7 separate regions of the Mus musculus genome follow, and regions 1, 2, 3, 5, 6 and 7 are each reported to be linked to region 4. Evidence: microRNA targets listed by miRTarBase, many of them from high-throughput screens and not tested one by one. Region 4 holds a microRNA gene; each other region holds the end of a gene's coding sequence. Distances are between the middles of the regions.

Region 1 (4,468 bases), 7.1 Mb from region 4:
GATCCACAAGTTGGAAACAGAGAGAGCCCGCTGGGAATGGCCTGGGCTTTTGAGAGCTCAAAGCTCACCCCCAGTGACATCCCTCCTCCAATGAAGCCACACCTACTAATCCTTTTCAAACAGTTCCACTAACTGGGGGCTAAGTATTCAAGTATGCGAGCCTGTTGAGGCCACTCTCATTCAAACCGCCACTAACTCCATTTCTGACGTGGGCCAGTTTGTCTCTCCTTAGGCAATTCTAGTAGTCTTTCACTCCCAGGAAGTCACCACATTGATGCTGAACTTAGTGTGGTCCTCAGTGGCCTAATGCACTGTAGCCCTGAACTCCAGGACTCAACTGATCCTTCTCCCAGTCTCACCCTGCCTGGCCTGACAATCTCAGTGGGCTTAGAGAGGTACTTCTAGAAGTCCTAAAAGCAGTAGGGTTAAATGTTATTCATTTTAAGGTGGTAAATGTCAAGATCTCAAGTGCTCTAACTTGAGTCAAGATCCCTTAATTATGAAGTATGGGTGTTTGGGCTACATGTCTGTGCAGCCTGTGTATGCCCACCTACTGCCTATGGAGCTCAGAAGAGGGCAGCAGATCCCCTGAAACAGGAGTTATGGAAAGTTATGAACACCATGTAGATGCTGGAAATTAAACCCAGGTCCTCTGAAGAACCAACAGCTACTACTCCTAACCGATGACCCAGCCCTCCAGCCCTCCAAGGGGCGCTGCATCCCACCCACAGTGCGCGGCAGGCTAGTCTTCCATCCTTGCTTCAAAAGTCACATTGGCCACCCACAGTCACAGCAGCGCCTGGACTTTGTCAAATGAGTCCACATTGCCAAAGGGGCACAGGAATGCTTAAAAACCAATCAGCCACTTCGGGGAGAATTTACCCAATGTTGGAGTTTGGGGGGACAACGGCAGCACCATCTCCTAGGTGAAGTCAGTGACCTGGGCAAAACACCTCTAAGGCAACACAATTAAGAAGTGGAACTATTGCCTTAGAGACTGCAGTGTTCTGTAATGAGCCAAGACTACTCTTAAAAAATAGTCCACAGCTGCGGAACTTAGGGACCCAAATCTTTAATCTCAGAACTCAAGATGCAGAAGCAGGTAGATCTTGAATCCCAGGCCAACCAGGGCTACGCAGACCCGAAACTCAGTAACAAAAATTAACTTGCCTGGTCTACAGAGTGAGCTCCAGGACAGCCAGGGCTACACAGAGAAACCCTGTCTCAAAAAACCAAAAAGTAAATAAATAAATAAATAAATAATAAAAATAACTTGCTGGTTGGCACTGTCTCTACGAAGCCCGTCCCAGTGATTCTCTCTACATGGCCTCAGGAATGGAACATGTGGTGAAAATCAAAAGCCCAGGGAAGCAAAAAACAAAAACAGAAACAACAAAAAACAGAGAAGCTAACATAATAGTAATACAATAAACAAACTTTCCAGTGATTGAGAATTGAGGAAGAAATCCCAATCCCTTTGTTCCAGAGTGACAACAGGACTGGCTCCCTCTTGTTGGGCGGCCCCCTCAGGCAGCAGACCTGAGACCACATCAGTCCCTAGGTATATACTGTCATAAGATGCAGGCAGCGGCAGTGGGTACCCAGCCCTATGAGGTTTCTCACCAACTCTGATCCCAAAAGGTTCGCTTTGTTCCTTCAGGCTTGTGGGGAGCCTAAAGCTCCACTATTTCCTATATTCTTGACAAGGAACCATGGCAGCTGGACTCCTCTTTCCAGATCATGGCGTGCACTTGTGAGATCCATCAGAACAAAGGCTCACTCCCATGGACTAAGTCCCTACAAAGGAGACAAACTCAAATGTCTCTTAGTAACCCAGGAGATGGGCAAGGACTCAAGCTTTAAAGGCATCTTTGGGAGACGCTCACCACTAACTCCCTGGTTAAGTGACTTACAGAAGGAAAGCAAACGGATGGAGAAGATTCACTTGTTCTCTCCAGATCTAGATGCCAACAGGCACCTGATTCAACAGCTTGGGCAAAGCCCATGGAGGATAACCTTGACTTGAGGGTAGTCTGTTTTCTTGGACATGGTTTTGAATGGCCCCATACCTCCATCCTAGGTAGGCAGCTACCCACCCTCTAGACTGCCCCTCCTGACCGCACTCCTTGGGACTTAAGTATTGTCACATGCTCCTCTGCTACACTGCTGTTGACATCAGACTCTGCATGGCCCCCTATTGCAAATGTTAACTGAGATAATTTCTTGGCTGACACGAGTTCTGCAGTATTGTTCTAAAAAGAACTGATGGTGCCAACCCTCACTTTCTTAGGTTTTCCAAAACTCCTGGACACTTCAGCTGCCCACTCCCTGCACTATTCCAAAAAGTTACTGGCTGTTAGAGATGTTTGGAAAGGTAGTAACATTTCACTGTACAGACTTCAAATTTCCCTTCTGCAAAATGGAGGAATGGTCTAATCACTCTGTGGTTTTACTGGAGACGCCTGCGATCCATCTAAGGAAGGGAGAAGCTAGCGAGCTTTAGTCATATCCCCACAGTGTCTCTTTCCTAGAGAAATCAACAAATGGACTTAATGGACCATACAGAAAAAGCATATAACCAGAGGTCCTAGGGGCGGGGCGGGGCTGAAGGGCTTGACACATGGGGTCGAACGCAGCATGAGCAGGACTCAGAACCTCACAGGTTACCACTGAGTACTTCCTGCTCGACTACTGACCATTCCCAGCTTCTTGGGTCTCCTTGGGTCTTAGGTAAGACAAGAGCACAGACCTCAACATGCGGGATTTGAGTGAGGTGCAGGAAACAGGCAGGCAGAAAGAAGCAGGGTAAAGCAGCAGAGGCCGTAACTTCACTTTATTTGTTTCCTTCAGACACAAACCACCCAAACAACAACAGAGTAGGGCAAGAAGAGCGCAGGTCAAGTGTTCATGCACGCAGCCCGGGCTCTTCCACAGCCTTCGCTTTCTCTCCTGACCCCTGGGGAGCTCTGGCGGCTGAGCATCTGCTGAGGTTGCTTCATCCAGAGCTGCTGAGTTCTCATGCCCAAGCCAGAGGCTCTGAAGACTGCTGCTGGCTTGTGTCCTCTAGTTCTTTTTTTTTTTTTTTTTCGTTTTTTGGAGACAGGGTCTCACTATGTAGCCCTAGGTGGCCTGAAACTTGCTAGGTAGACCGGGCTAGCCTTGAACTTAAAGAGATCCATCTGCCTCTGCCTCTGCCTCTGGAGTGCTGGGATAAAGAGTATGCACCACCATGCCTGGCAGTCCGGGAATGCCTACCCGTTGGCCACCATGACATTAGGTAGGAAAGCAGCCGGAACCGCTCCTCTCTGGCGGCTGAGGGTCTCACTGAGGAACTGAACCAGCAGATGTTCTACACCTTCTGTGCTGTAGGAAGAGAACTCAGAGCTGCTTCCAAGGTTTTGACACTGTGTGCAGGGCTAGAGGCCAATGGTATAGGAGCGGCCGGTAGGGTTGTGAATAGAAGAACAGACGGGGGCCGTCACCGCCCACTCGTACCACACTTTCTTGGAATTGCTGCATCGCCAGAAACGCACACAGATGTTCTGGCCTTCGTGCACCGTGATGGGCTGCTGTAATACGAAAGACACAGGCGGCTTGAATGAGGAATTGTACTTGGCAATGATGGTGGGACAGACAGAGATTAGACAATAAACAGCCAAGTGTAGGGACAAACCTATAACCCAACACCCAGGACGCTGAGGCAGGAGAATCAGGATTTCAAAGCCAGCTTGAGCTATAATTCCAAACCCTTTCTCAAAAACCAAACAAAAGATAAATACAACAAAATATTCTGCCCCTTGGGGGCTGGAGTGATGGCTCAGTGGTTAAGAGCTCTGACTGCTCTTCCTGAGGTCCTGAGTTCAAATCCCAGCAATCACATGGTGGCTCACAACCATCTGTAATTAAATCAGATGCCCTCTTCTGGGGCATCTAAAGACAGCTACAGTGTACTTACATATAATAAATAAATAAATTTTAAAAAAATATATATTGACTCTCATAAAAGTTAGCTATCCTGTCAAAATATGGAACCCCCGGACAGTGACAAGGACACAGTAAACACTGTACAGGAAGGGAGCCATGAAAGCACTCAAGAGGAAGCTGGCCTATTCTTGGAGGTCAGGAAAATGGCCTGATGGTAGAGACATTCCAGGAAACCTAGGGCAGTTAGCAGGGTGGAGACATGAACAAGGAACCTCACAGGCAAAGCAGAGAGAACTGGAAGCCAACCCACCAAGCCAGCTCTCACCTGAGGGCAGTGGGAAGGTGCTGAGGGGCTTAGATAGAAAGGCAAACTCAAATAATGTAAAATTCATCCCTCTTCCAGGTAAAGACTGGACAAGAGAGGCTGGAGATGTGGGGAGTCCAGGTAGCTTACTTGGGTATCCCCAAGAGGACTGCAGAGCAAGTGACAGAACAGAACATGGGTCACAGCCAACTAGCTGAGGGACAGGAGAAGAACACCACT
Region 2 (4,468 bases), not on the chromosome of region 4:
CTTCTTCTTCTTCTTCTTCTTCTTCTTCTTCTTCTTCTTCTTCTTCTTCTTCTTCTTCTTCTTCTTCTTCTTCTTTTTGTTTTTATTTTGAATTTTTATTAGGTACTTATTTCACTTACATTTCAGTAAAGAGATCTACCCAGGTATATGAAGCCCTGATACTAAATTTTGGCCTTTGGGGACATCCTGTGGTTGCATAAAGAGAACTTGATAAGAAAGGTAGAATATACAGATTCTATACACTTGCTCTGCATCTTTTTGAAGTCCACATTACTATTATTTCTTTAGATTCACGCAAGACTTGGGAGTTTTCCATTTCCTATGTCTTGCTGACTGGAAATAAGCATTCCAACACTTCCAGAACCCAGGTTAAGGTTTTATGAAAAATGGCAGGATGCCTCTTAGGACGTAAGTAACTGTTCGTGGGACTCACTGTGCATCTATCATGTCTGAGACACTGTGTTCCATTTGTAGGTGACTTTAATATAAAGCTGTATTATTTAAATATTCTAGAAGATTATGGGTCTACTATATGTAGGCAGCTGTAAGCACTAGGAAATACTTAACTTTTGACTAGAGTAAAAAAGTTAGGAGAAGGCTCCAAAGGAGAGGGAACTTTCGACAATCATCTCTGAGAACAAACTCTGGACCCATGCTTGGGGAGTTGTTTCTTGGGAAAGCCAATGAATGACACCCTTTGGCTTAAAAACGTTAATCTGGAGTCTCTTTTTGTAACTGTCACCTTTTCTGAGCACATGCCTCATTCTTAGCAATCTTCATTTTGAAAAAACCCAAACTACTACTACTATGTCCAGTTCCTTAAAGAAATCCCTAAGTAAGTCGGATTCTTATAGCATTGGTTTGAATTTTTTATTTCTGGGTTGTTGAACTGAGTATGTATTTAATAAGAGCCAAATATAAAGCTGTATTACTTAAATATTCTAGAAGATTATGGGTCTATTATATGGAGGCAGCTATAAGCACTAAGAAATACTTAACTTTTGACTAAAGCATTATACAAATGTTTTGAATATATTGTGAGCCCTCTTTATTTTTGTCAGTTTAAACAAATGCAGAAATTTCTGGAGGAATGGAAATTACTTTCTTATCAAAATGAAATAGAAAAAATATAGCAAAGTTCTTAAAAGCAGGCTCTTGCTTTTCATTTGAGCATAGTGTATAAAATCCTGAGTCCTCCTGCCAAGTTTGATGTTTTTTCCCATTTCCAGAGAACTAACTGCTGGTGGCAGAGATGCTGGCTGCCTCTTCAGCTTTGCCCTGTGGGGCTCAAAGAGATTTATAAGTTTAAAGGGTCTTGTATGGAGTGAGCTAGACACACAAGCTAGACAAATTCAGGCTGCCTCACACCGTCATAGACCTTGGAATTCACTTGCCACCTGGAACCCTGGGGAATTTTACTGTGTACACGTGAGCCACTGGAAAGATGATGGGAACAAGAGCTCAGCAGAAGCCGTGTTGGACTAAATACATGTTACAATCACTGAGTTAATGAAACCAGTCTCATGGTTCCAATGTATATTCAAGGCATGACAATACGACTTATTAAGAGTCACCAATTGCTAAAATAAATTATTTGTTTACTGAATTTTTCAAGAGTTGTGGAGGAAATATAACTCTGACTAAAAATGGAAAGCATACATCCAACTTTTAAAGATTACACTCCCTGAAATCATTGAAAGTTTGAAAAACCTCGAGTTTTATAAAAATTCTGGTTGTCTTAACTTTACAACTAGATGTTACAGAACACCTTTCATTATAACTTATTCCATGGAATTTGAAATTTGAGGTTTGTAGCAAACCCCAACCTGAAATTTGAGGTGACTCTCATTGATATCAAATGCCTCTAAAAAGTGGCTCTCCTTTCTTTTTATTATTAGACAGGGGAATACACTCTGGGGAGTGGAGGAAGTTATGGTAGTTCAGTAAACATTTTTCCAGTTCGAAGTAGTGGATTATTTTTAAAATATTCATTGCTATGATAAGAAATGCTTTATTTCAGGTCAGTCAACTGCTGTCTACCTCAGTGCCCAAATATTGAACAAAAGCATTCTGTCCCATTGAATAACATCACATAGTTCCTCGAAAGTACTTCCAGAAAAAAAAAAAAATCTCAGTAAATTGAACAAGCACTCTTGTTGAAGGAAACGTTTTGCAAATGGACCAGACTTTCTAATGAACCATTTGAACAAGCCCTCTCTTTGACATCAGATTTCCTTCCCGACATAAAACTGTAAAAAAATAATCTGAATTATTATTTCTGTTACAGTGCCATTTTGCTCAAAATATTTCATTCAGGGATTCATATATAATTACCCACCTAATAAAAGGAGCTATTAGGTTGTAAAGATCCTATCCTTGCCATGCTCTCTTAAAATTATGACCTACTCAAGCTTGAAATCAAAGGCAGAGCTGAAAGGAATAATTCAGCTGAAACTCTCATCAAGTTTTCAAGTCACCTAACTGATAAATATGCAAACTAGTTCCCTCTTGGCGACTCAGCTGCATAAATAGGGATTAACTCCACATACCGCTGAAAGTTCATGGGCTAAAAGGGAATGCACAGAATGTTCTTATATTCAGCTGGTTTCAAGCCGTAGATACATGGCGATAGAAGTTTAAAATTCTAGTCCACAGTTTAGATGCTGCATGGAAAAATACCTACAGGAGTTATGATGTGCAGATGTGAAGTGGCACCCATCCCTCTCTCCTCCCTGACTGTCTTAGGCATGGGATGGAAGGTTGCCTTGCCAACAGAAACCTGTGGTCAACATCTGTCAATGTTGCCTGGCACAGCTCGCTCAATGAAGATGCTATTGGTGGAAGGGACATCAACTCATGAAAAGGTACCCTGGGATATGGTTTTTCATGCTCCTTTTCTTTCTTGAGCTCGCTCTCAGGAAGTCTACTATCTCCACAGAGGGATATTGGGGACACAGGATATATGACGCATGGAGTTGGCCATTTTAGCTAAGGCTACTTGCCCAGGAGAAGTAGGGGAATGGTTGGGGATGGAGGATGGTGGAGTTTTTCTGGCCAAACTCCTGAAGAAGAAGCCTTAGTGAAACCCAGACAGGCCATCACAGTGTGGAGTGGCATAGAAGCCACTGAAATCGAAAAATGTCCTATGACAAGCTCAAGTACACAATCACCACGTGTCTGAGAAGATTGCATATTGTATTCTCCTTCTAGAAAGGTGTTGTTGCTGGCAGGATGCCACCAGTTGAGGATTTTTAAGTTTCTACTTGCTAGACATAAACGTTAATCAAGGATGGATTTACAAATACTTGCTAAAATTGGTAAAAAGTTTATACCCACTCACTAACATCAGCCACTTTTGTGAGATGGAATGATTGAGCTATAAACAAGCATTCACTGCCTTTTGCTTATTCACTTATTTTCTTTTATGCTGTCAGGAAAATATCCAATCCTTTGGTGCTATGGAGTGAGAGAGTTACCATGGATGCTCTGTAGCTGAAAAAAATAGTGAGTTTGTATTGATTTGTTATGGCATGGTACAGGCTGAAATAATGCACTTGTGAGACTAGACCTACACAGAAAATGAAAGGTCTCACTGAAGGAAAATGTAGGCATTAGTTATGACACCATGGTCCCTGCAGTGACAAAGACCCAGAACTATGCTAGCAGCTTCAGCCTTGACTTTGCAGTGAAGATGCATCTTCGGGACCTCATGACCATCATCGTATACTCCTGATGTCCATATAGGATGGGATACTGTTTTCTTCTGAAGTGCTTCAGATGTTCCTTAACCGAATGGTCCAGATGGTTGACCTGTACACTGGTAAGAGTTTTTGGACACAGGTGTGCTGTTTATGGATAATTGGTATGCTGTAAAGTTCCCAGAAGATCTCAACGTTTTGGCAATGAGTGTCAAAAGGCAGACCCTGTGATGGCGTTGAGTTGCTTCATTAGCCCTTCCAAACTTGCCATTTGTTCGCTCAAGTCATCCTGTTCATATACCTGGAGAGAGAATGAGAACGGAGTCAGGATGAGGTCTTGGTAGGCTCCTACCATGATAGATCCACTTAGTGTCTGGCTGTAAGTTGGGTCACTTATTATTCTTGAGATTTACATAGGGACTGATAGGTAGAGCAGCTCTCAGAATATTTTAACTCAATGAACTTGTAATAGCAAAAGAGCTACCAATAAGCTACTGAATACTGCTTCCATGTACTCTATACCTTTAATAGGGAAAAAAGCTTCACTGTTAAAAATATACTATTTTAAGTCATATTCTTCCAATGGCTAGCTTTGTAGTAGTGAACAAGTTAGAAGATTTCTCTGTTGTATAATTCTACTTGTCTGTGAAATGATAATGGTGCCTATTTTATAGTTTATTCTGAGCATCCCCTGACATGCTCCCTGCATGTCACAATGTCTGACCTGTGATCCATATTAACACAGTAGTTCCTCTTCGTTTTGATTGGCT
Region 3 (4,468 bases), not on the chromosome of region 4:
AAACTGGGAGCCGGGCCTCTGAGAACCTTGGTGTGCCAAGTTACTTCAGTCACATTTTATTTTACAATGTATATCAGTATATCGTTCCTGGGGTTGATAACCATTGACCGCTACCTGAAGACCACCAGGCCATTTAAAACGTCCAGCCCCAGCAATCTCTTGGGTGCAAAGATTCTTTCTGTTGTCATCTGGGCCTTCATGTTCTTAATTTCACTGCCTAACATGATTCTCACCAACAGGAGGCCAAAAGATAAGGACGTAACAAAATGTTCTTTCTTAAAGTCAGAGTTTGGTCTAGTTTGGCACGAAATAGTCAATTACATCTGCCAAGTCATTTTCTGGATTAATTTTTTAATTGTCATCGTTTGTTATAGCCTCATTACCAAAGAACTCTATCGGTCTTATGTCAGAACAAGGGGTTCAGCCAAAGTTCCCAAGAAAAAGGTAAACGTCAAGGTTTTCATCATCATTGCTGTATTCTTTATTTGCTTTGTTCCCTTCCACTTTGCACGGATTCCCTACACCCTGAGCCAAACTCGGGCCGTCTTTGACTGCAGTGCTGAGAACACCCTGTTCTACGTGAAGGAGAGCACCCTATGGCTGACGTCACTGAACGCCTGCCTTGATCCATTCATCTACTTTTTTCTTTGCAAGTCTTTCAGAAATTCCTTGACAAGCATGCTGAGGTGCTCAAACTCTACATCAACATCTGGGACAAACAAGAAGAAAGGACAAGAAGGTGGCGAACCAAGCGAAGAGACCCCAATGTAGAACATTACCCAAGGGGCTGCTTCAGTCTTTAATATCCAGACTGCTCCAAGGAAATCACCATACAAATATATTAACATTCACTAAAAAGAAGTTGAGTTAATGATTCTTTAAATAATCAATAAAGTAAGAAAATAATTTTTAACTACCTTTTCTGTACATATATGGGAAAAATCTTAGTCTGCAGGTGTATTTTAAAATGAACTGCATCCCATTGCTATACTGCAGGCAAACCACAAAAAAAAATCATTTATCTGATTTCTTCAAAATTAGCAACATGAAATGTAATATTCATTGTCATTTTAAAATAAATTACCAATAACAATATTATTTTTGTAATAAGTGAGAATGTATGTATGATCTGATACATCAAACACAGTAATTACCAACTTCCCATTTATAACAAGGATAACAACAAAACCAAAGGGACGTAAATCAAATGAAATGACAATGGATAAGGCCTGGATTATTGTAAATGCACATTAAGATGGTAGAGGTTTAAAAAGCGAATCTTACCATAAAGGACAGACATGATGAATAAAATTATTAACTTAACAAAAGTACACTTTCATAACATTCTAACATTAAAAATATTTACTCCTTCCTTAACACTAGAGGCAGCAATTTTACTAAGGTTCTAAGTTTACTGGGTAGAGTGTCATTATCGGTACTTATCTGCTAACTAGCTTTGAAAATGCCTGCTGCTTGAATGAACAGAACACTTCTTAATAAGAAAACATAAGCAACTACAATTACCAAATCACACATCACATCTACCAATAAGAAAGTGATTGAACTACTTGAGATTATGTTTGTAATCATGTGTATAATATTAAAATGCATTTATTCTGTATCGTTTTGTTGGAATTTCTTCATTCAAAAACTATTAGGTATAATGGTTCAACCTTCTTTGCCTCTATTAAACAGTAAATGTATTTAAGAACTATGGCCAGTACAGCTTTATTTTATATTATTTATATAGTTTCTTCAGGACAGTCATGTCCCATTTATAAGTCCTCATGTGATGATAAAAGAGTGACACATGTAGTCAGAACTCATATGTTTCATAGGTGGTATTTTTTATCTTATTTTCATTAGTCAACACAGAACTGATGTATGCTTACTGGGTATGGTGTGATACATCATTTTATGCATATAAGCAATAAGACCAAACTAGGGTCATATTTGATAGCTTTAATATAAACAAAATATCCAGTGTGTGGAAGTTCAAATCATTAGTTTCAAATATGAATGCTCCTTAGAGGGTATTTTCTGACACCGATGCAGAGGTTCACAGACAAATACATTAAGTGGAGCTTGCAGAATTCTGCAGAAGAGGAGGTAAAGGATGGTAGGAGCCAAGGAGGTGACAGATACTACAAGAAAACCTACAGAATCAACCCACTTGGGCCCATAGGTCACACAAAGATTGACCTGGCAAGCAAGGAGCCTGCAGGGGACTGGCCTAGGCCCTCTGTACATATATTACAGTTGTGTAGCTTGGTCTTCAAGTGTGACTCCTAACAGCAGGAGCAGGGGCAGTCTCTGACATCTGTTGCCTGCCTTTGGGACCCTTCCTTCCTACTGGGCTGCCTCATCTAGCATCAATAGAAGATGCTGGTAGTCTTACTGCAACTTGATAAGCCAGGGTTGGCTGACATCCATGGAGGACTCCCCTTTTCTGAAGGGAAATGGAGGAGTGACTTGGGATAGGGGATGACTAGAAGGAGAGGATGGAGGGAAAACCAGGGTTGGGATGTAAAGTAAATAAATAATTTAATTTAAAAAATAAGATTTCTCCAACTTTAGGGGGAAATTCCCAATGTCTACAGTAAGGCTTCCCAAGAACACAGCCATGCTGTGCAGACAGAATATCTAAGACTTCCATGACACAACAATAGGGCTGGCAAGGAAGATTATTCAGCCAGAATCACCTAAAACCATAGCCCTTTAAAAAAATAAGAACCTGCCAACCCTGGAATTACTACTCTAGCAACAGAAATGAAACATCAGAGACAGACCCTCTCGCCACACCTGCAGCCAATTCATAGTTTGTGAGCAATGGCCATGGTGGGATTAGTGTCACGAGTGGGAACTGAAGATATGGATACACAACAGTAATCATAAGCACCAAGAAATAGATGGATTTAGCAAAACGGGAAGAAGATTAGAAGGCGATTTCCAGAAGGAAAGTGAGTGGATAATATGAAAGTAAAAGGAATTACGTCCATACATTATAAATCTATACTTACATGGCACAGTGTATTTTACTTATAATTTTCAAATTGACTTAAAATATTTTAATAAGGATTAGAGAACTCTATCTTCAATGGGATTATACATTGATACACTCCTTATAGAAACCTTTTTGAAAATATCATATAACATTTGATACCTAACACTTGATCAAGCTATTCTTACAAATATGTTAAAACAAACATACAAGAGAACCTGAATACATATGTTCAGCAGTAACAACTCAAAAAGTCAAACAAATTAAATGTCCATCCGTAACAGCTTAACCAAAATATGGGAAAGTTGTGTTTATCATTATGATCAGTGTCTATGTATTAACATAGACTAAGACAAAAATTAACACAGACTAAAATAAGCATGAACACTTACACACTAGTATAAATATAAATGACTTCTTGCTATCTATACACTGGTGTTTAGAGTTTTCAAATAGTTGTTTTGTGTGTGTGTATGTTTTGTGTGTGTGTGTGTGTGTGTGTGTGTATGTGTGTGTGTGTGCATGTCCCCTTGTGAGTGTGGGCCTGTGTACACTATCACACACATATAGGTGTCAAAGGACAACCTCAGGTGTCAGACATCATTTGTCATTTTGTTTGAGATAGAGTCTCCTTTTTACTGCTGCATATACCAGACCAACCACTCTGCATGCTTCTAAGGAATTCTGTTTCCATATCCCCAATCTCGCAATACGAATGACAGAATTACATATACACATTACTGTGTCTACTTCTATATGGGCTCAGGAGATCTAAGTTTATTCTTCCATGCTTGTGTGGCAAGTGCTTTACCTACTGCGTCATCTCCTATGTATTTCATCTTTAAAACATATGCTTTCTTTTATGACAAAATCCTTGTAACTAAATATTAAGCATTTCAAGTATTGCTGTGAATTTATTGCCTGTTTCTGAAGAGATTTTTCTAATACTGATTTTCACTTCAGGACATCTGCTTGTAAACTACATAGTGTATTTAACTCATTATCACTTTTGGTTACCCTAATTGGAAAGTTTTAAAAAATTCACATGCTCTAAGGAAAGTACCTCAGTAGATTTCAGAGTAAATAAGAGTTCTCTCCTAGGAATATTTGAGTTCCCACTTCAACTTACATCCTTAGTGAAAATGAAAGCAAACATCTCAACATTTCTAATGTTATTATATGATGCATGTTAACTACATCACCAGAAGTCCCTTTGCTCTTTGCCTTGATCCAGCTCAGGAATCCTGGAGGTCTAGCAAAGGAAGTAGGTGTAGGCAACTTCCATTACAGACCAGTTTGTCCCATCTGACCATACTGGTTGGACAATTTACAAATTTAACCTTAGACCTGAGTGTGTACCAGACAGAACTGAGTGTCCGTTCAGCTTCTTTTTCCTGTATCAATCATTGACTCTTGGCATAAGGACTTCAGGATGAAGTGAACCACTCCAGCTGCTCTCTCAGGGGT
Region 4 (4,468 bases):
AATCAAGAGAAAAGTATTTTTCTATTATAAGTAATAATATGAGTTTAAATTCATGTACAATTTGGTACTTCCTAAACTCTTTCAAATAAACTTTTATATGGAAATGCTGGAAAGAGAGCTCGAGCCTTGGTGGTACTGGGTATATTCTGTACCACTGTAGCTCTCAAGAAACTCTGGAAAGGTGTTCAAGACTTAAAAATACTTGTTATATTATTAGTCAGTGCTCCATCTGTGGATCCAACCAACCACACATTCAAAACATTTGGGTGGCCAGGCATTGGGGCCTACAGTTTTAAACAAAGAATTTGGGAGGCGGAGGCAAGAGGATCTCAGTGAGTTTCATGGCAGCCTGGTCTACATGGTGAGACCCAGGCTCAAAAGACCAAACCAAAAAACTTATTTCTTGGACAAAAACTGCATTAGTACTGAATTGTACAGTTTTTTTCTCATCATTAAGAGAATAACTTGAATAATACAACTATCCATGTTAACATCCCACTGCACTACACATTAAAAACAATGTAGAGATAAGTTTAAATAAGTATAAGGGAGGATATGCACTGGTCACGAGCAGACATTTTATACAGGAGATCCAAGCATTTACAAATCTGGGTATCTAGAAGTCCTATAATCAGTTCCTCACACAGAAGTCATTATGTTTTGTTTGTTTTTAAAAGACAGATCCTTACATAGGTCTTAGACTTGCTTTATGGCCAAGGATGATGTTAAGCCTCTAATTCTCTTTTTTCCACTTCCTCAGATCTAGGATTACAAGTGTACCTGGTATGCAGTGGTAAGGCTAAAACCCATGGCCTTGTGCATGCTAGCAAGAAGCACTTGGCCAACTGAGCTGCATTACCATCCCACAATTATATAGTATTTTAACAGACACAATATGTAGAGCGTTGTTACTAACATCATTACAGAATCATACCAAACATAAAATCACTAATGCAATTAGAAAAACCGTGTAAACACACAAGTAACATCAATACACATTGAATTACAGTTGTAGAGTATTGCCAACCTTACTTCAGCAGCACAGTCAATACTGGAGGTAATTTCAGAATCTTAACGCCAATATTTACGTGCTGCTAAGGCACCGCTGACATTGCTATCATAGGAGCTATGAATAAAAAGACAGGTACTCTCTTCAGAAGATCAGGTCCTTGTATTTTGAGGCAGCACAGTATGGCCTGCACCTTTTCAACATCCACAAACCATTATGTGCTGCTACTTTACTCCAAGGGTTGGTTTTGAAAACTCCTAGCACCTCAATAGTAATTTACAGAAAAGGCTTTTTAGGAAAAAGTAGAACACATAAAATCTATGTTTGAAAAAAATCTAACACTGGTATGTGCATAATTTTATAGGCTTTCAGCAGAATAAAAAGTATTTCCATATCATAAGTTTAATAAAAGCGTACAGAAAACTTAATACAGTGCTGTAATTTATTGTAGTCATGAAACGAGAAAAGCAAGTCATTTTCCCATACCAACTTAAGAACCTCATTTATTAAACTAACAACTTTTGAATGTGCTTAACACATGAAATAGCTACAAAAGTTGGTTTTTACCTTATTAAGAGCAGCACATCTTTCAAAGCCAAATCCATAGGACAAAGCTTCATGTTAAAGGAAACATGTAAGAACAAACATGTAAGAGCTCAGTTTCAAGAAATTTATACTAGCAAAATATTTAGAAGACATACACATGAAACATATTCCCCAAAAATATATAACCCCCAATCTACACATGAACACAAGATTTATCTCAATATTGGAATAGTTATTGTGAGTTCAGTGTCATTTATTATTACCCAGAACATCATCTTAGGATAACAGGTCTATTTGGTTTCCTAAAAGGATATATCAGAAATCCTGTAGCTCAAGCCTAAGTAACCATTTGTGTGTTTCCCAGTTAAAAAGGCTAGTCCTTTAAAGGAGTATCATTTTATACCACAGGACTTTGACTTAGCTGAAACAAAATTTTTACTACGTTAAGTTCCAACTTCATTTTATGTGTGTGTGAATATCTAGGTTTTCTTACACTATTAAGAAGACTCTTTTCTGTTTAGTGGGGGACTTAGCCATCCCTTCACAAAGAACTGTTCTTATTATTCCAGTTCATACCAGATTTTCCATTCAAACTAGATTACTGTGTAGCAAATGTTTTCTAGTGGGTCAATGCCATTTCTCCATTCCCGTTCATGTTGGGTCATTTGAAATATCAAAACGTCTTTAAATCTTCAAACCTTTGCTTTCAAGTGTGCCAGCTTAAAAAAAAAAAGTCTGAAAATAAAGATAAAAGCTGCTAAAAGTGATTTTGTCCTTTATCTTTATACAATGATTATAATTTCAAATTCAGTGGTTTTTTGAGAGAGGTTTTGAGGACAGTGGCTGCTGTCCTGCAATTCATTCTATAGACCAGGCTGGACTGGAACTCAGAGATCTATCTGCCTGGTTTCCCTCCTGCATGCTAGGATTAAAGGCGTGCACCATCATGCCCCGTTCCAAATTCAGTGGTTTATATTCTGGCCTAAGGACCAAAATAATTTTTCTTTGTTGGGTTTTTACATAGTTCAACTTTTTACTAATGTTCTTAAAAGGAAAAAAAAGCCATTCTGAAAAGAAAACAAAATGTTTTGCTTAAGAAGGTAACTTGAGTGTACATAGGAATACATGGCAATCTTTAAATACCTGAAATTAATATTATTCGTATAAGAAAACAGAATTTTACAACAATTTAAGAAGATAGATCAAACCAAATTGTCCTATTTCCCCCTTCAACTCTATTTGTTTCCATTAATATTTTTCTTTAGAAACATTTACTTTTTACCTTATAAAACTTCTAATATTAATTCATCTTGTTTCCATAAAGCTTAGCACTTCACAAACATTTATAGGCATGTTGCCCAAGCTATATCATCATCTTGACTGCATCAGAATAATGGGATACTTTTTGAATTTAATAATAAGCAACCAGTAATTTGTTGGAGCACAATGACAGAATACAGAATCTGAGGTCCGAACCCTGACACTGTCCTTTGAGTGTCTCCCATGGCTGTTATTCTAGTACACTGACCCTTTCTGGTTCCCTATCTGCAAATGAACCATTAACATACATATAAGCCTTTGTAGGACGCTTCTGAACCATAGCCATCTTATGAAGTTGTCTAAGAACATGGAGAAAACACTACCAGGTTTAAGTTCTGATGACAGAGCAACAATTCTCAGGGCACAAAAAATCTACTTAAATAGCAAAGCTAAAGGCATGAAATACTGCAACAAATTTGGGAAGTTAAAAGCTGGGTATGTTAATATCTTTGATGTGGCAATAATGCCACTATAAAATCTTTGGAACTGTTTCTTCTCTAAACATTTTAAATTCCTAGTTCTAAAATTTGATATGTGAAAAGTGACAGAATCATTTGTAGGGCATACTACTAAATAGTTAAAAATTCCATTTCCATGTGATTTTTTTCTAGGAAAATGAGCTTATGTAACATATTTGAAAAAGAAATTGTTCTAACAACAACAACAACAACAACAACAACAACAACAACAACAACAACATACCCAAATTTTATTTAATGGCTATGAAAGGAAAACTAAACTGATTGTTTAGGCCAAGTCAGGTATGGTGATCACTGACAACTGAATATGTATTTCAATTTGCTCATTTTTTACATGGAAATTTTTGAAATTCAAGTTGCAAGGCTGCAGAGTTACTCAGTGGTTAAGAGCATTTTGTTGCTGTAAAAGACCCAGGTTCAGTTCCCAGCACCCACATGGAGCCTAAGCACTTCCTCCAGCACGCACTGCAGACATACACGAAGGCAGAACACTCATACTTTAAAAAGCTCAAATTTCAGAACAGAAGATGACAACAATAATTCACACTAAATGTTCTGAGGATATTATCCCAGTGCATTTATGCTTAAAAGTGAAAAAAAAAATCACATTGTATCAGATTGTTATATTTGCAAATTTAAATTCCTACCCAAACCAGGTGGGTGGCTAAGTGTTGTGAGTGGAACATGCCTATAATTTTGGCACTCTAGAGATGGAGGTAGAAGGATTACTATACAGATTCAAGGCTAGGCAGATAAGCTGTCTCAGACAAAGAAAATGAATATACACCCCACCAAAATTCAGAACCTGGTATAACTGTTTAAATTTTACCGTCCCCCAACTGCCCCCTGACCATACAAGGGATCATATAAGCAGGGCTGTCCTGAATTTCACTCAATTGTTACTGATGACCTTGGTCTCCATCTCTCCTGCATATCAGGTCCATACACACTTACACATATATACATGCAGTTAAACTCACAAATTAAATAAAGAAATGTATAAGCCTTAAAAAAAATCTTTGCTTATTTGTAAACTTTAAAGAAAGGATTTAATATTTTGACTTCAGACTCGGAGATAGCAGGGACTTTCTATAAAATACTTTCCACACTAGTA
Region 5 (4,468 bases), not on the chromosome of region 4:
GGGCCTTAAAAAACAATAGCAGCCCAAGACCTGACTTAGAAATAGAAAACTGCTCAGTTTGGGCAAATCTTCAGTTTTACATTCAACTATGAATGCAACAAGTTTGAAGTACCTAGACAACAAAGTATTAAAGATACTGAAAAGCCAAGACTAATCTTATAAAGCTGTCTTTCCCTTAGATAAACCCTTCCCCAGCCTACATATTGCCTGGTGCTATGGAAATCACTAAATCCCGAAACTGTAATGATATATTTGTTTGTAAACTGGTGTTGAAATTTAGAAAACTATACCAAAAATAAATTCCAAACAAAATTTAAGCAGCAACAAATTTGCAATTATCTGACTTGGTAAAAATTACCAGTTTCATGGGGAAACAAAACAAAACAACCCCCTAATTATTAAGTAACGCTACTGTAAAAGTATGAAAAAGTAGGCACAAATATAAGTGCCCCTGATTCCAGCAGTTGCAAGGCAAAGGCAGTGAGTTCAAGGCCAGCTACAGCGTGAGACGTCCACTTAAAAAACAAAAACAGAAACAAAAACAAAAGAAAAAACAAAGTATTACATATTTACTTACTTAATATATACCAATATTTATAGCTAGTCTTAATTTTAAAATAGGAATTTGGGGCATATTATTCCATAAAGGGCACTATCCTGTATACAAAATAATTTCTTTTGTAGGTAATATTACAATGTCAATTCTCTGCTTACAATATATAATAAATCTGGTAAGACGGGAAAATGTTAGTTCAGAATTTCAAATACATTTTCATTAGACCAAGTCTTCTTTTGTGTGGGGGAACTGACAGGGGAGTTATGAATTGAAGACAAGGTCCACGTGCATGCTAGGTAATTTCTTTACCAGGATTGTTTAGGGAAGGAATCTTGCATATAGCCTAGGTTTACCTTTTCTCTCCAGATCCTCCTACGTTAGCCTCTACAGTACTGAAATTATGGATAGGCACTACCACATCCAGATAAATCAGACATTAATAAAAGCACTTAGCACCCAGACAGAACTTTGAGAACACAGAAAGAAGACTACAAGTTTCCAGTTAGCTTCAGCTCTTCACTAGGACAAGTCCTGGACACTGCTTAGAAACAGTGAGAAGCCGTTGTGTTGAGTAACTTTCAACATACAGTGTACATGTGATAATGGCAATCAACTGTGCACCATGGCTCTGGACTGTAGCAGTGATGCCCTCACTTGCATGGAGAGACCTTTCTGCTGAATAGTCCTTCATTCAGCATGGTGGCTACTTCTGATGTTTCTGAGTCCAAAGAGCATAGACCTCAAGTTGATTTCATCAAGTCTATTTATTAATGCATTTCAAGTTTCAAAAAACCTTACATCTTTGCACAATACTTTATTTTTTGCAGGTTTTAGTAAAAATTTCCAAAGTGAACAACAAAAAAAAGATACTGTATAAAACACAGTGGACATTAAACTGACAGTAGTATTAGATCTCACTGGTCCTGGTCCTTTCATTTTTTAACCACATCTTGATTTGTAGTGGAAACAGTTCAGTGCATGTATCTCTTCAGAAAACATTTAACTTAGACTCAAAATAAAATAGGGCAAAACCCTACCACAGGATAACATTACAAGCAAAAAATGTACATGTTCCAAAGTCTACCACACTCAAGAAGTTACTAAGAACTCTTGCAGAATAAAAGTCACCATTTTAGAAATGCAAATCCACTTCCAACCTTTGCACAGTCCAAAAACAAAGGCATTTGAATGATTTAAAGCAGTGTCATACACAGCTACCTACTTGTTGGGTTAGAATTATTTATAGTCTATCTGGGGTTTCATGTACAAAATTTGTCTCTAAATCATGTACAAAAAGCTGTTTTGAAAAAAGTCCCGCGTACTGTACAAGTTTACAAGGAGAGATCCCATTGTTTCTCTAGCGGTTTTGGCCTTGCTGGCTCGCGTCACATTGTGAGTGATTGTGTAAACCTTAGACTCTTAAGAAAAAAGGAAAAAAAAAAAAAAGCCAAACACAGTAATCTTGTCAACCTTCTCTAGATTGCCTCCTATGTAAAGCCAGGAAGATCACTGCTGCTGACTTCTAATTTAAGTGATGTAGCTGGAAAACAGAAGCAATGAATATGTCACAAGCTTACATTTTTTAATGCCCCCTCCATTTTCTGCATAGCGATAAGCCTGTTAATACATTAAATGCTTTTGCTTTCTCTTTCTTTAAAAAAGCCAATATTTTATCTGCTTAAAAAAGAAGTTTGTAATGGGACACTGTGCTGTCTACCTTCATTGTTGCTAAAATGTTGGGGGGAAAACAACGTCGAAAAACCTATCTACAATTTCAACTACCTGCTGAGCAAATCACCCATCTCTAGTGGTTACCAGTGATCAGTGACAGTGCTGAAGAACTAACTGTCCAAGTATTTCAATGAAGACACTGATTTTCTTTTTCATATTGGATAAAAACAGAATTAGCAGGCTTGAAGTATATGGAATACACAAAGTAATAAGCAGGCTACAGATGAAAATTAATCATTTCCAACATAATTCCAAGGCATGAAAAAATTCACCTAGCAATTTAAAAATGGAATTGATTTAGAAAGTATAAAATACTAAGCAGAAATCAGACATCTACAAAAAGAGCTGACTCTGAAGCCAAATGCTGTTGCTGTCCAGTTTGCAAGCCATCAGCTGCGTTCTTCAGCACAGCCTCTCCTGCTCACAGCAGCCATGTAACAAGGAAAAAAATGTATGTAAGAACCAACTCCACCATAAGAAAAGGGAAAATGATTCTCATTTCAAAACTGCCTGCATAAAGCATTACAGAATCCTGGACCACTGCACACCACCATTCTCTGTTATCCTGAGTATGTCAATTAAACAGTAATTTTTCATTAAGAGCGGAAAAATTTATAATACAAAGAAACATCCATATTGCAATTTCTGTTTACAATTGCACAGAGAAGTACAGTGTACGTAAGAAATACATGTCTGCATATAACAAGGTATGTACATTGGCAAGTGATGTATCCAATGTTGAGGTGGTCGAGCCTCCCAGCCTTGATTGGCAGTTGAAAAAAATATATTTCAATTTGTGATAAAAGTTTATCGAGAGCCAAGTCTGTCTGCAAGTGAAGAAAATGCAGCAACGAAGAACAGGGAACATGGGGCACATAATAATATTCTAAGACTTTGTGCCATTAGGTTAAAAATATCTGTTCATAAGAAAATTGGGTTCCTTTTCCATCCCACCCCCACCCCCAAAATTGGAATTTTCAGGCTTTAAATTTTGAGTAATTCCACCTGATCTGAGGACATGATCTCTTGCCATTTTTCTTCAACTATTAACTGTAAGGGTATCATTTGCAGATGATGACTTAACAGGTTTCTCTTTGGAGTGAAGTTTTCCCACTGTAGGCACTAGGAAGAACCAAGGCAAAAGCTGCATTAGCGTCGCATGTGTCCCATTTGATAACTCTCTCGGGGCCTCTGACGCGGGGGCTGCTGAATGGGCTGTGGCGGTCTCCTCCTCTTTAAAGTGCCTGCAACGAAAGCAAAACAGCTCCCTGAGCACCACCTCCTAATCTTCAAAAGGGAAGCACTCTTTCACCAAGAAAAGCTATTTTTTGGCACTGACCAGCAGAAATAGGTACCCCGTAACACTTTTCAGTTTTCTGGTGGCCATAATAAAATAAAAATAAATTTTAATATTTATTTTATCTAGGCCAATTCAAGTTAAAAATACCAACTGTAGCATGTACTCAATATAAAAATTACTAAAATATTTTACTATTTTATGTTGTCTTTAAGTCTGATCCATATTTAATATTTAACAGCACATCTCAGTGGAGATGGGGCACATTTCAAGTACTTAAAGAATTAGACTGACCAGTCAGAATTATTTTAGCTTTGAGAGCAGAATCTCTGACTGGAGCCCTGACAGACTCTTGAGGCCTGTCTGCACAGCAGGATGGGAAGTCATTCACACAGTCTATCATGAAGACTTTAAAGCCGTCCTTAAGTCAGCACTTTTATGAAGATTTAACAAGTGACGATCATTTTCAGAGGTGTCAACACACAAGTGCATTATCTGCTCCAATGAAGAAGGACACCATGGCAACCATGCCTCAAAAGTGTCCTATAGCTCTTGGAAATGTGTTCAACTCACACAAGTGCCTGGGTTCTGACTTAGGAAACTTAAGAAAGCAAGTATATCAAATCAGACATCCTCCACCCCCATCATGACTCCTGGGCACTCTTGTCCTAACACGGGAAAATGCAAGGAACAGCTGAGGGGAAATACAAAGTAGAAGAAACCACTCTGAGGCAAGGCTCTCCTGAGGAGGCCACACAGTAGCACACAGCCCTGGCTTCCCTGCCACTGCCTTAGGCAGTCTTCCCCACACCTGTAATGACTAGCCACACCTTGGAGAGGGGAAGGGGAAACTGATCAGACTAACTGCAACAAAACAGCCATCC
Region 6 (4,468 bases), not on the chromosome of region 4:
ATTGGGGCAGTGATGGTTCAGATAGGGTAAGAGCACTGGCTGCTGCTTTAGAGGTCTTGGGTTCAATTCTCAGACACCACATGGTGGTTTACAGCTATCTGAAACCCTTTTCTGACATCTGCAGGCACCAAGCATATACGTGCCACACATGCAGGCAAAACACATACGAAATGAAATGAATAAAGTTAGTAATTTAAAAAAGGAAGGGAAGAAAAGCAAGCAAGGGGGCAAACAAAAGCTGCTTGACTTCAGATGCTGACCAGCAGCTGTGGCTGTGCAAGGTCAGGGCTAGCAGGGTCCTGGCTCACGGCACTGGAGCTCACCATGCTAGCATTTGTTAGCATTAGAAATGGAATCCATGCTGGAACCTCTTTCCGGGGCTTAATGTTGCCCTCCTTAATGTTGTTCTGCTTTCCTGCCCTGTCTCTGAATTAGAGCATTGCCTGATTATGTCCCAGGAGGCTGGGGGCAGTGCTTTGGCCGAGTAAGTATTACTGTGCCTTGGGTTCTTCCATGTGGCTCTGCACTCAGTGGCTAAGACTTTCTGCTTTCCATTTTCTCTCCCTTTACCCTGTTTTCTCTAGAACCCTCTAAGTCTTCCACCCACACTCCACCCACTCTGGTCCCATCAACACACCTATTCAGTCTGGACCCAGCCTCCTATGTTTGCAGATCAGTAAAGCTTTTGCCCATGGAGATTGATTTTCATCTCCCCATCATACTTGAGGCCCAATCGTTGGAGTTGAAATTCTCAACTAGGACAAAACCCACACCTCTGATGGGCACACAGGATCCCATGATGCACTTCTGCCAGAGTGAGGAAAAAAATAGATGGACTTGTATCTGCATCATTGAGCTACTAGTAGAGAACTCTTATCTATATCTGTCTTTTGGTCTACTTTGGTCATGTAATATCACTGTTTCATTAAACTGCCCCAGTTTAACCTGTCGACAAAGATGTCGACAGCATCCATCTCCCCTCCCTTCCCCTTCTCTCCCCCTCCCTCCCTTTCTCTCTCCATCCTTCCTTCCATCCCTCTCTCCATCTCTGTCTCTGTCTCTTTGTCTCTCTGTCTCTGTCCCTGTCTCTGTCTCTCTCAAACATTCTCTGATTTGGAGGATGTAAAACTACCCCAGCTTTGTCCTTGGAATGATGTCTATCTAAGTTTCTTCACAAACACAGACAAGATGATGGATTGCCAGGCAAATGCTTTTCACTCTAGCACAATAACAAGAGTATTTTTTATTTTTCCCCCTGTAGTGCAAACTAGAGTGTTTTAAAAATCATATATCAAGTAGTGTTTTGGAAACCTTGAAGGAAGCATGCTACACAATTTACATTCTATGCGGTCAACCCTTGCTCAGTGGAATAAACATGAGCAAGCTAAAAATACTCCAGGGAAACACATCCACACATAGCATACATCACATGTCTCTGCTGCTTTTTGAAACCTCCTTTTCTTTTTCTCACCTTGCTCTGGGCTACTGGGTAGAATGCATCTTCTACAATGCGGTGTGAACGAGGAGGCTAATAACACATCCAGGGAGCTGGCAGTGATTGCTCATCCTAAAATCCTGTGGCCATGTTCAGATACCATTGGAACGCTTCCAAGGAACCAGGAGGGAATGTCTTAGCTTTGTAACATCTGCTATCTCCACCAGAGCAGAATAACTTGAGCGAAGAATCCCATGCCATCAAGGTGCATTGGTGTTATAGTTCTATATTAGATAAGAAGAGGCAGTGCACAGATGTGGTCTACCCAGCATGTGGTGCCATGCCTTTATCTGCAGGTGCAAGTACTGTTGTGCTCAAGGCAAAGCACCTACTTGGCTAATAGCTTTTCCTTCTTCTAGAGACATTATTCCTGGGACGTGTTAAGTGTTGACCGACTCTCTCTTTTGCACTGTCTAACAGAGGGCACAGGCTAAAGGAGAGGAAGTAGGAAGGTTACCACCTGGCTCTGGGATGGAAAGATAAAGGATGGCAGAATCCTAGAATGGGGGAATTCCCACTAAGCAACCACAGGCAGCTGAGGGGTTTTAAATAGCAGATGTTTTGCAGTAGTCAAGTCAGATTTTACAGTAAGTAGTGAAGAAAAAGTGGGGATGCATGTCTTAATCCTAGTGCTTTGGCAATGGAGGCAGGTGACTGTGTGAATTCCAGGCCAGCCTAGTCTACACAGTGAGTCACAGGTCAGGTAGGGCTACATAATGAGATGCTGTCAAAAATGAAAAAGAAAGAAAGAAAAATAGCTCATTCATTAAAGCATCATCGGACCTCAAGATTAAGGGAATCTCTCAGCCATAGCACATTCTGAATTACACCTGGCTGCTCTGAAAGGCAGTGGTTTATAAACAAACAGCTTCTTGTCACTGACATTCTACCCAGTCACATATTTGCATATCTTAAGACCTATAAAGGGCACAGACATCAGAATGAAACCCACTCTCCATTACTGTAGAATGATATGCAATTTATTCATATACTGACAGTTAGGCAGTACTCAAAATTTATTTAAATAAGCAAGTGATTACACAAACATCTAATAATACTAAAATCGATAGTCCCAAAGTATAAAATACCACGGGTATGAAATACCATGGTAAATACTATTCAACAGACTACAGTCATAATTCCAAACTAAATTACATTTTAAAGAAGATGATTCTTAGCAGTTTGAGGATGATCTTGTTTTTTTTCTTCCAAGCCACTTCTTCCACCGATACAAGGATGCTAATTTCAGGAAATATTGCATGGTATCATTGCTTAGGTTCCTGTGTTCTAACACATTTTCTTGACAAAAGTTTTAAAATATTGCCCCTCAACATAGAAACAAACCAGTCAGCACTCAATCCCCTAAGCAAGGATACTCAGATCTGGGGAGTGCTAAGAACTAAGTCTGGGTTCAGCAAGAGTCAGATAGTGAGAAACCCTTTGCAGCCTTGGAAAGATATGGCTTCTTTTCTGGGGGCTCCGAGCATCATACACATATTTAGACATCCAAGCCATGAAGCGATGGGAGAATAGTAGTAGTTTTCTATCCTGATGACTAGGACACAGTTGTACTGTGGTTAAGTTAGGCTACAGTTCGGCAGGATTTCACACAAGGATGGTTCCTATTTAAGCTAATTTCTTATAGCCTCATTACATTCTGGTGAAGTGCAGTTATATGTGCAGGAAGAGTTTGGCTTATCATGTGTCTGTATTATTTTAAAAGTCTTATGCTTTACCCAAATGAGGTACAAGCAAGGGTCCAGCTTGAGAGGCTAGCAGCAGTCTTCGTGAGACATTTTAATAAATAGGAACACAGAACGAGATTCAGCTAACTCTCTTACGTACAAATTACAGCTAGAGAATTATTATACATTTTTAATATGGAATGATGGGGGGGGGGAGAAAAAAATCTAAAAAAATAGAAAACTTTTTTCATACCTGGGTGCCAAGGACAGATGTTAACACTGCACAATGCCACAATGTGAGCAATCACTGGAGGGTTGATGCTCCAGAAATGGTGATTTTGGGGGAATCTTGGAATAATGACCAAGAGATGAAAATACTGTACCAAAAGGCATGCATATATATATATATATATATATATATATATATATATATATATAGTCACTTATGTGCATTAGGTGTGTGAGCTGTCACCTAAGCAGAGATCTAGGATGACAATGAGGCAGTGTTCTGGGGTATTCATTGAAACCAGTGTGGGCACTACATGTTGATTAAACCTTCCGATGCAGCAAAATGCGGGCACAGCGCCATATCTGGGTTCTGCAGCTGTTTTATGATCCTCTTGCGGAATTTCTCCCTCACGCGATTAAACTCCATTATGTCCATGGGGTCCTCTTCAATCCAAAACTTGTGAAACTCGTGCATCAAATAGCCTGTTTGGGACAAGACAGTGATAAGTCTGCAAGGTCATCATCCTTAGTCACATTCCAATCCTCAGTGGATGAGTTAGACCAGAACAGTCTCCATGGAGGTCACAGCAAACACCAATGATTAGTGAGATCAGTGGAGTAGAAGCTACCAAGCTGCTTATAATCTCCTCCTTTTGCAGCTGGTACGAGAGAAAACTTTTACTCCATAAAGCAGGAGAACAAAACAATGATGTCACCTCTTGAATATGAATCACGTTGGAAACATATTTTTTTTTCCTTAAGTAAAAAGTTTTAAATGTTTATGAGTATTTACCTGTTATGTTTGTTTGTGCACCACGTGGTATGGTGTCCCTCGAAGGCCAGAAGAGGGCATCGCATGCCCTGGAGCTAGAGTTACAGCTGTGAGCTGCTATGTGGGTGCTGGAAATTGAAATGGGATCCTCTGGAAGGGCGATCAGAACTCTTAACCACTGAGCCATCTCTCTAGCTCAACCTTGAGTTTTGGCTCTCTCTCTCTCTCTCTCTCTCTCTCTCTCTCTCTCTCTCTCTCTCTCTCTCTCTCCCCCCAAGGTCTTTGGCT
Region 7 (4,468 bases), not on the chromosome of region 4:
GCTCAGGCATTAATCCTTACTGTGCTTTGATTGAGGAAGCATATGGTAAGAGTTTGGCTGAGAATGAGGGAAATGAACAATAATAATCATATGAAAACATGAACATGGGAGTAGTGGGTGACACAGAGACAACAGTAGTGAGACTTTGCTTCCTTGGGCCAGAAACTGCTTGCAATGTGCATTTAATTTAAGATGTTAATTTATAATATTGGGCTTTGGATGTAATGGCAATAATCATTTCTGATGCGTATGTATAGAGTCTTTACATCAATAAAGTAGAATTAAGAATGTAGTTACTGAGGTTTTCAAGAAAGATTCTTTATCCTTCATTTTAGGTCTGGATAAAATTGAGTTCTTACAGAGTCATGAAAACCAGGAGATCTATCAAAAGGCTTTTGATCTTATTGAGCATTACTTTGGGACCGAAGATGAGGACAGCAGCATCGCACCCCAGGTTGATCTTAGCCAGCAGCAGTACATCTTCCAGCAGTGTGAAGCTCCTATGGAAGGTTTCCAGCTTTGAAGCAATCCTCTCCTTCTTGTTCCTGTGTCAGACCAGGCTATCCAGTCAAGTCCTCTTGTGGAGCCCACAGTCCTCATGGAGCTAATCTCTCAAATGTTTTCCATAATACTGTTTGCGCTCATTTGCTTGCCTTGCGCACCTGCTCTCTTACACACATCTGGAAAACCTCTGGCTCTCTGTGGTGGAATACCCTTTTATTACAAGGGTAACCAGAACGGCCCACTCTCTTATGGAAAAATCCCTAAGCTTTGGAGATCCGCACTTACATTAGAGTCATGGGAATATATACACATACTAATGTGGCTCCCTTTTTTGTGGGGGAAAAAAGAGGACTCTTCCTCATTCCGTAAAGTGGGGAAAATGACATTGAAAGATAAAACTAAAACCTTTATCTTGAATTTTACACAACTACAAGGGAGATATTTAGACTTGTGTATACATCAGAGTACTCTTCTCGAGTTCTTCCACAGTGAATCAACCCTTGGAGTACCTGGTGGCTTTTTCTAGCCACATTTGCATTAATCCTTATTGAGATGGGATGGTTTTCTTTCCTCTAATGGAGTCATTTTCTTCAGATATTAAAGTTAAACCATCCAATCCCTCACCTTCAGCCTTCAGTGAATGTGCTTCTAGTTGTCAGGAATGCTGAAGAATTAACACTTTGACTTTTAAATGTGATCCTGGCTTGGCAGATTTCCTTAAAGCAGGAAGGAGAGAAGCATATATTAGTTTGTATGGCTTTTGCTTCTCTTTGTTTTTGTTTCTTAGGATTTGGAAGTGGTTCAGTTTTAACGCTGGTATGAAGGCTAAAAGTCCTTAAGTAAAACCATGTTCAAAAATCCAATTAAAGACTAAGAACATAAAACCCATCACTTTGTTTAAACCGGTGTGACGAGAGGCTGTGTTTCTGCATTACAAATGATCCTCAGGCTTTGTGGTCCTGACCAAGGGCCTGGTAAATTGGAGTCACCCTAGGTGCTTTTCCTCTTCGTGACTGGCAGATAACACATATTTAAATGTTACTTAGGGATTTTTTTTTCCTTTGTTGAGTGCAGCTCGATTCTAATGTAATCATGCTGCATACATGCTTTTGCTGTGCAGCATCCTTATCTTTAAAAGCATACTAGTCTCCTCAGTGTGACCTCTAGACTAAAAGGGCAGTGATCCAATAACCTCAGTATCCCCTGTTTTTATTTCATCTCCTACTAGTACCCTACCTCCCCTAGGAAGAACATGCCCACCTCCTGCTTATTTAATGATGACTGTAATGTACCTGCAAATGGCGCTTCCAGTACTGTGTTCACTGACATTTGTGCTTGGACTAGAAGGGGAAAGAAACAAGAAAAAAAGGATAATTGCCAAGAGAACTGCAAATGAGTTCAATGTGACTTCTCGGTGCTAGTTGGCCATCTTGGCTCAATGTTGGGACACACTATCAGAGAGAGGAGTCTTTTTTTTTTTCCCCAATGATATTCTGTTCAAAATGAATTCTGAAGGAAAAGTTGCTCATGTCTGTTTCAGAGCATACCCTTTTAAATCTTTTTAGACTACTCTTCTAGAATTCATCATAACCCCAAAATAGATAAAAGCTATCTAGAAGTTGCCCTGACAAGCTATTGCACATCTCTGGTAAATCCTGCTGAATGTAAGGAATATTCAGAGCTCTCATACCTCATCATGATGTTATTTAAGCAGCCAATTTACACGACCTGATTTACTTTGAAAAATTTGTTTCATTCAAACTAGAAAGTTCCAGAGACAAAGGACATTTCTCAGCCAAGAGTGTGATGCATTCTTGCCCTAGTCTTTACTTGTGTCTGCTCTGGGATGGATGCTGTCTGATGTCTGTTACCAATGGAGCAGATACCACAAAACTAGTCAACTCCCGTCTGTCCTGTTGTTTTCTAGTGCTGCTTTGTGCTGAGAGAACATGTTAGTTTACTGAACTTGACCTGTACAAGACTGATTCTTTGTAATTTTAGGGTTAAATTAGGTGGTTAATTTAAAGATGAACTTTCAATGTTGCCTTTACATCACATTACAGTATCACTTCTTTGAGAAGGTAATAGAAGCACTGATTCATAGTAAAAATCTTGTTTTTAGCTTTGACTTTTCTTGTGGCTGATTTCTTTTTAAATTGTAAATTACTGGTAACATGTTATTTCTATAGAATGTTTTAAATTATGTACCTTCTATTGGATAGTTAAAACCTTTGCATCTTATAAAGGAGTTTGAATGAAAAGAAATAGAAAGCACACAGAGTTGTCACCTCACCTTACCAAGAGCATACAGCTGGAACTTTTGTAGCAATATCAGGGTGGCCCAATGAGTTCAGGTCCATTAATCAGTGTGAGCTCTTTTATCTTAAGCCTGACCAGAAGTTCATGAACTTTAAATATTCTGAACTTTGTTTTTATAGTAAAATGATTGTTTCAGTGTAAACATGGCATTCAGCTAAACCCTGGCAAGTTCAGATGTTCTGGAACTGAGTACTTACAAAGAAGACTTTTGTTTCTTAACGCAAGTGGAATCTTAGGGGTTACTTGTAAATCCTATTTTTAGTCTTTCACCTGGCAAAGTCTATTAATTTAATCTTTTGAAGATTTTTATCAGAAAGGTGTTACTTATTACAGAAGCATGTTAGTATTTATAACATAAAACCTCTTAAGGATTTTAGATAGTGATCAGGGCAAAGTGGCTTTGTTGTTTTCCTTCTCTGTCTCCTTCCAGACTTTCCAAGTATGTATTTTATACTGAGAACTTTGATTTTTAAAGAAGCATTCAGAGACTTTGAGATGTAAAGGTACCTGGTACCTGAAGCACCAAAAGGTAAAGAGCCGGGTGGAGAAACACCCCAGAACATTCAGATGCCAGGTACAGAACACAGTTAGGAGACTTGGCTGTGGGACACGGGTTCTTGCCACCAGTCAAAGCCATCTTTAGATTGCCCTCGTTAGCCCCCTGCTGGAAACTCTGCTGCACCAGGGTTGTTTCTTCCACACACCAGACTAAGCTGTTGGACTCCGGGTGTTTCTCAGCCTTACTGTCCTATAATAAATCTGAATTATTCCAGTTGCTGCTGACTATGCCTAAGAAAACATATGTAAGTATAATTTGTCAACCAAATTCTGTTGTACATGACTACCTACCGGCAACTTTGATTGATTTCTGTAGTGCTAAATAAACATTTCAGCTGTCTGACCCCAAACGTGGGGCTGTATTGTAAAACAGGTTTTCCTTGGGTTATGGGATTTATTTTATGTCTGATTAAATTTGGGGGAAATTTTCATATCAGTAAGCAAGCCATTTTAGCTGTTTTTAGGGGCTGGAACTTTTTATTTAAGTTGGAAAGTGTGTTGAGTAATGTGCCATAAGAAAAAGGAGTCAGTTTTTGAGCGGGGATTGTTTCTTTTCAGGGTGCATACATACCTTCCAAATTAGAAAGTTTGCTCACTTGCAGTTTCATTTTGAAATCCTAAATTAGTAGAGCCATTTTTTTTTGTTTGAGGTAGACAAATTAACTATCTGTCTGCAGAGTTGGAAGTATTTAGACTCCTATCATTCAAAATTAGTTAAATATAATATTTGCCTGTATATAAATGATATTCTATATTCTTTATTGTTACAAAAGAACAGCTTATGAGTACTAAGACATCAGGGTAATGTTTAATAAAGTAGAGGTTTAATGTTTTAAAAATATCACATTGCTAGAGCTGGAGGGAGACCTCTTGTGTTAGGAGGTCATCTGTTACGGGAAGTCACTACCCTCGAGGAAGATGGGAGTGTGGCTCCCAGCACCCACATCAGCACCCATCTTGCTTTGACTCCAGCTACAGTGGATCCGGAGCTCTCTTCTGGCTTTCCCGGGACACATGGTGTGCACGCATACCTATGAGCAAGCACTTCCAGATAAAAACAAACCTTAATTTTTTTCAAAGTACCAAA

Evidence for each region. The annotated mature microRNA mmu-miR-15a-5p reads UAGCAGCACAUAAUGGUUUGUG and lies in region 4 at 1,215-1,236, opposite strand. An mRNA with a match to its seed (bases 2 to 7 or 8) in the 3' UTR can be bound and repressed. Matches are read on the target gene's strand: a 7mer-m8 pairs with bases 2 to 8, a 7mer-A1 pairs with bases 2 to 7 and ends in A, and an 8mer does both.
Region 1: the mRNA of Prmt5 is a reported target of mmu-miR-15a-5p. Seed matches in the 3' UTR shown: 7mer-m8 at 2,810-2,816.
Region 2: miRTarBase lists Dcc as a target of mmu-miR-15a-5p. Seed matches in the 3' UTR shown: 7mer-A1 at 3,661-3,667.
Region 3: the mRNA of P2ry12 is a reported target of mmu-miR-15a-5p. Seed matches in the 3' UTR shown: 7mer-m8 at 1,468-1,474.
Region 5: miRTarBase lists Adam10 as a target of mmu-miR-15a-5p. The part of its 3' UTR that is shown has no 7-base or 8-base seed match.
Region 6: the mRNA of Elmod1 is a reported target of mmu-miR-15a-5p. Seed matches in the 3' UTR shown: 8mer at 3,269-3,276.
Region 7: the mRNA of Kpna1 is a reported target of mmu-miR-15a-5p. Seed matches in the 3' UTR shown: 7mer-m8 at 2,432-2,438.

The regions. Positions count from the first base shown.
Region 1 is chr14:54,504,379-54,508,846 of GRCm38, forward strand. It overlaps Prmt5 (protein arginine N-methyltransferase 5), which reads right to left. Exons shown (of 17, transcript NM_013768.3): 17 at 2,804-3,569. The coding sequence ends at 3,417. Among named protein-coding and RNA genes, the nearest start is that of Prmt5, 11 kb to the right of the region's middle.
Region 2 is chr18:71,255,081-71,259,548 of GRCm38, forward strand. It overlaps Dcc (deleted in colorectal carcinoma), which reads right to left. Exons shown (of 29, transcript NM_007831.3): 29 at 1-3,999. The coding sequence ends at 3,910. Among named protein-coding and RNA genes, the nearest start is that of Gm41772, 610 kb to the left of the region's middle.
Region 3 is chr3:59,213,512-59,217,979 of GRCm38, reverse strand. P2ry12 (purinergic receptor P2Y, G-protein coupled 12) reads left to right here. Exons shown (of 5, transcript NM_001357008.1): 5 at 1-1,709. The coding sequence ends at 771. All of the region lies in intron 15 of Med12l (mediator complex subunit 12-like), which reads right to left. Among named protein-coding and RNA genes, the nearest start is that of P2ry13, 4.9 kb to the right of the region's middle.
Region 4 is chr14:61,630,861-61,635,328 of GRCm38, forward strand. Mir15a (microRNA 15a) reads right to left here and starts at 1,250; the gene lies at 1,167-1,250. Dleu2 (deleted in lymphocytic leukemia, 2) reads right to left here. Exons shown (of 7, transcript NR_028264.1): 4 at 1,577-1,623. It overlaps Mir16-1 (microRNA 16-1), which reads right to left and starts at 1,112; the gene lies at 1,020-1,112.
Region 5 is chr9:70,777,063-70,781,530 of GRCm38, reverse strand. Adam10 (a disintegrin and metallopeptidase domain 10) reads right to left here. Exons shown (of 16, transcript NM_007399.4): 16 at 1,302-3,531. The coding sequence ends at 3,437. Among named protein-coding and RNA genes, the nearest start is that of Adam10, 100 kb to the right of the region's middle.
Region 6 is chr9:53,909,004-53,913,471 of GRCm38, forward strand. Elmod1 (ELMO/CED-12 domain containing 1) reads right to left here. Exons shown (of 11, transcript NM_177769.4): 11 at 2,457-3,891. The coding sequence ends at 3,719. Among named protein-coding and RNA genes, the nearest start is that of Gm39340, 12 kb to the left of the region's middle.
Region 7 is chr16:36,033,386-36,037,853 of GRCm38, forward strand. It overlaps Kpna1 (karyopherin (importin) alpha 1), which reads left to right. Exons shown (of 14, transcript NM_008465.5): 13 at 1-45; 14 at 336-2,777. The coding sequence ends at 523. Among named protein-coding and RNA genes, the nearest start is that of Wdr5b, 5.6 kb to the right of the region's middle.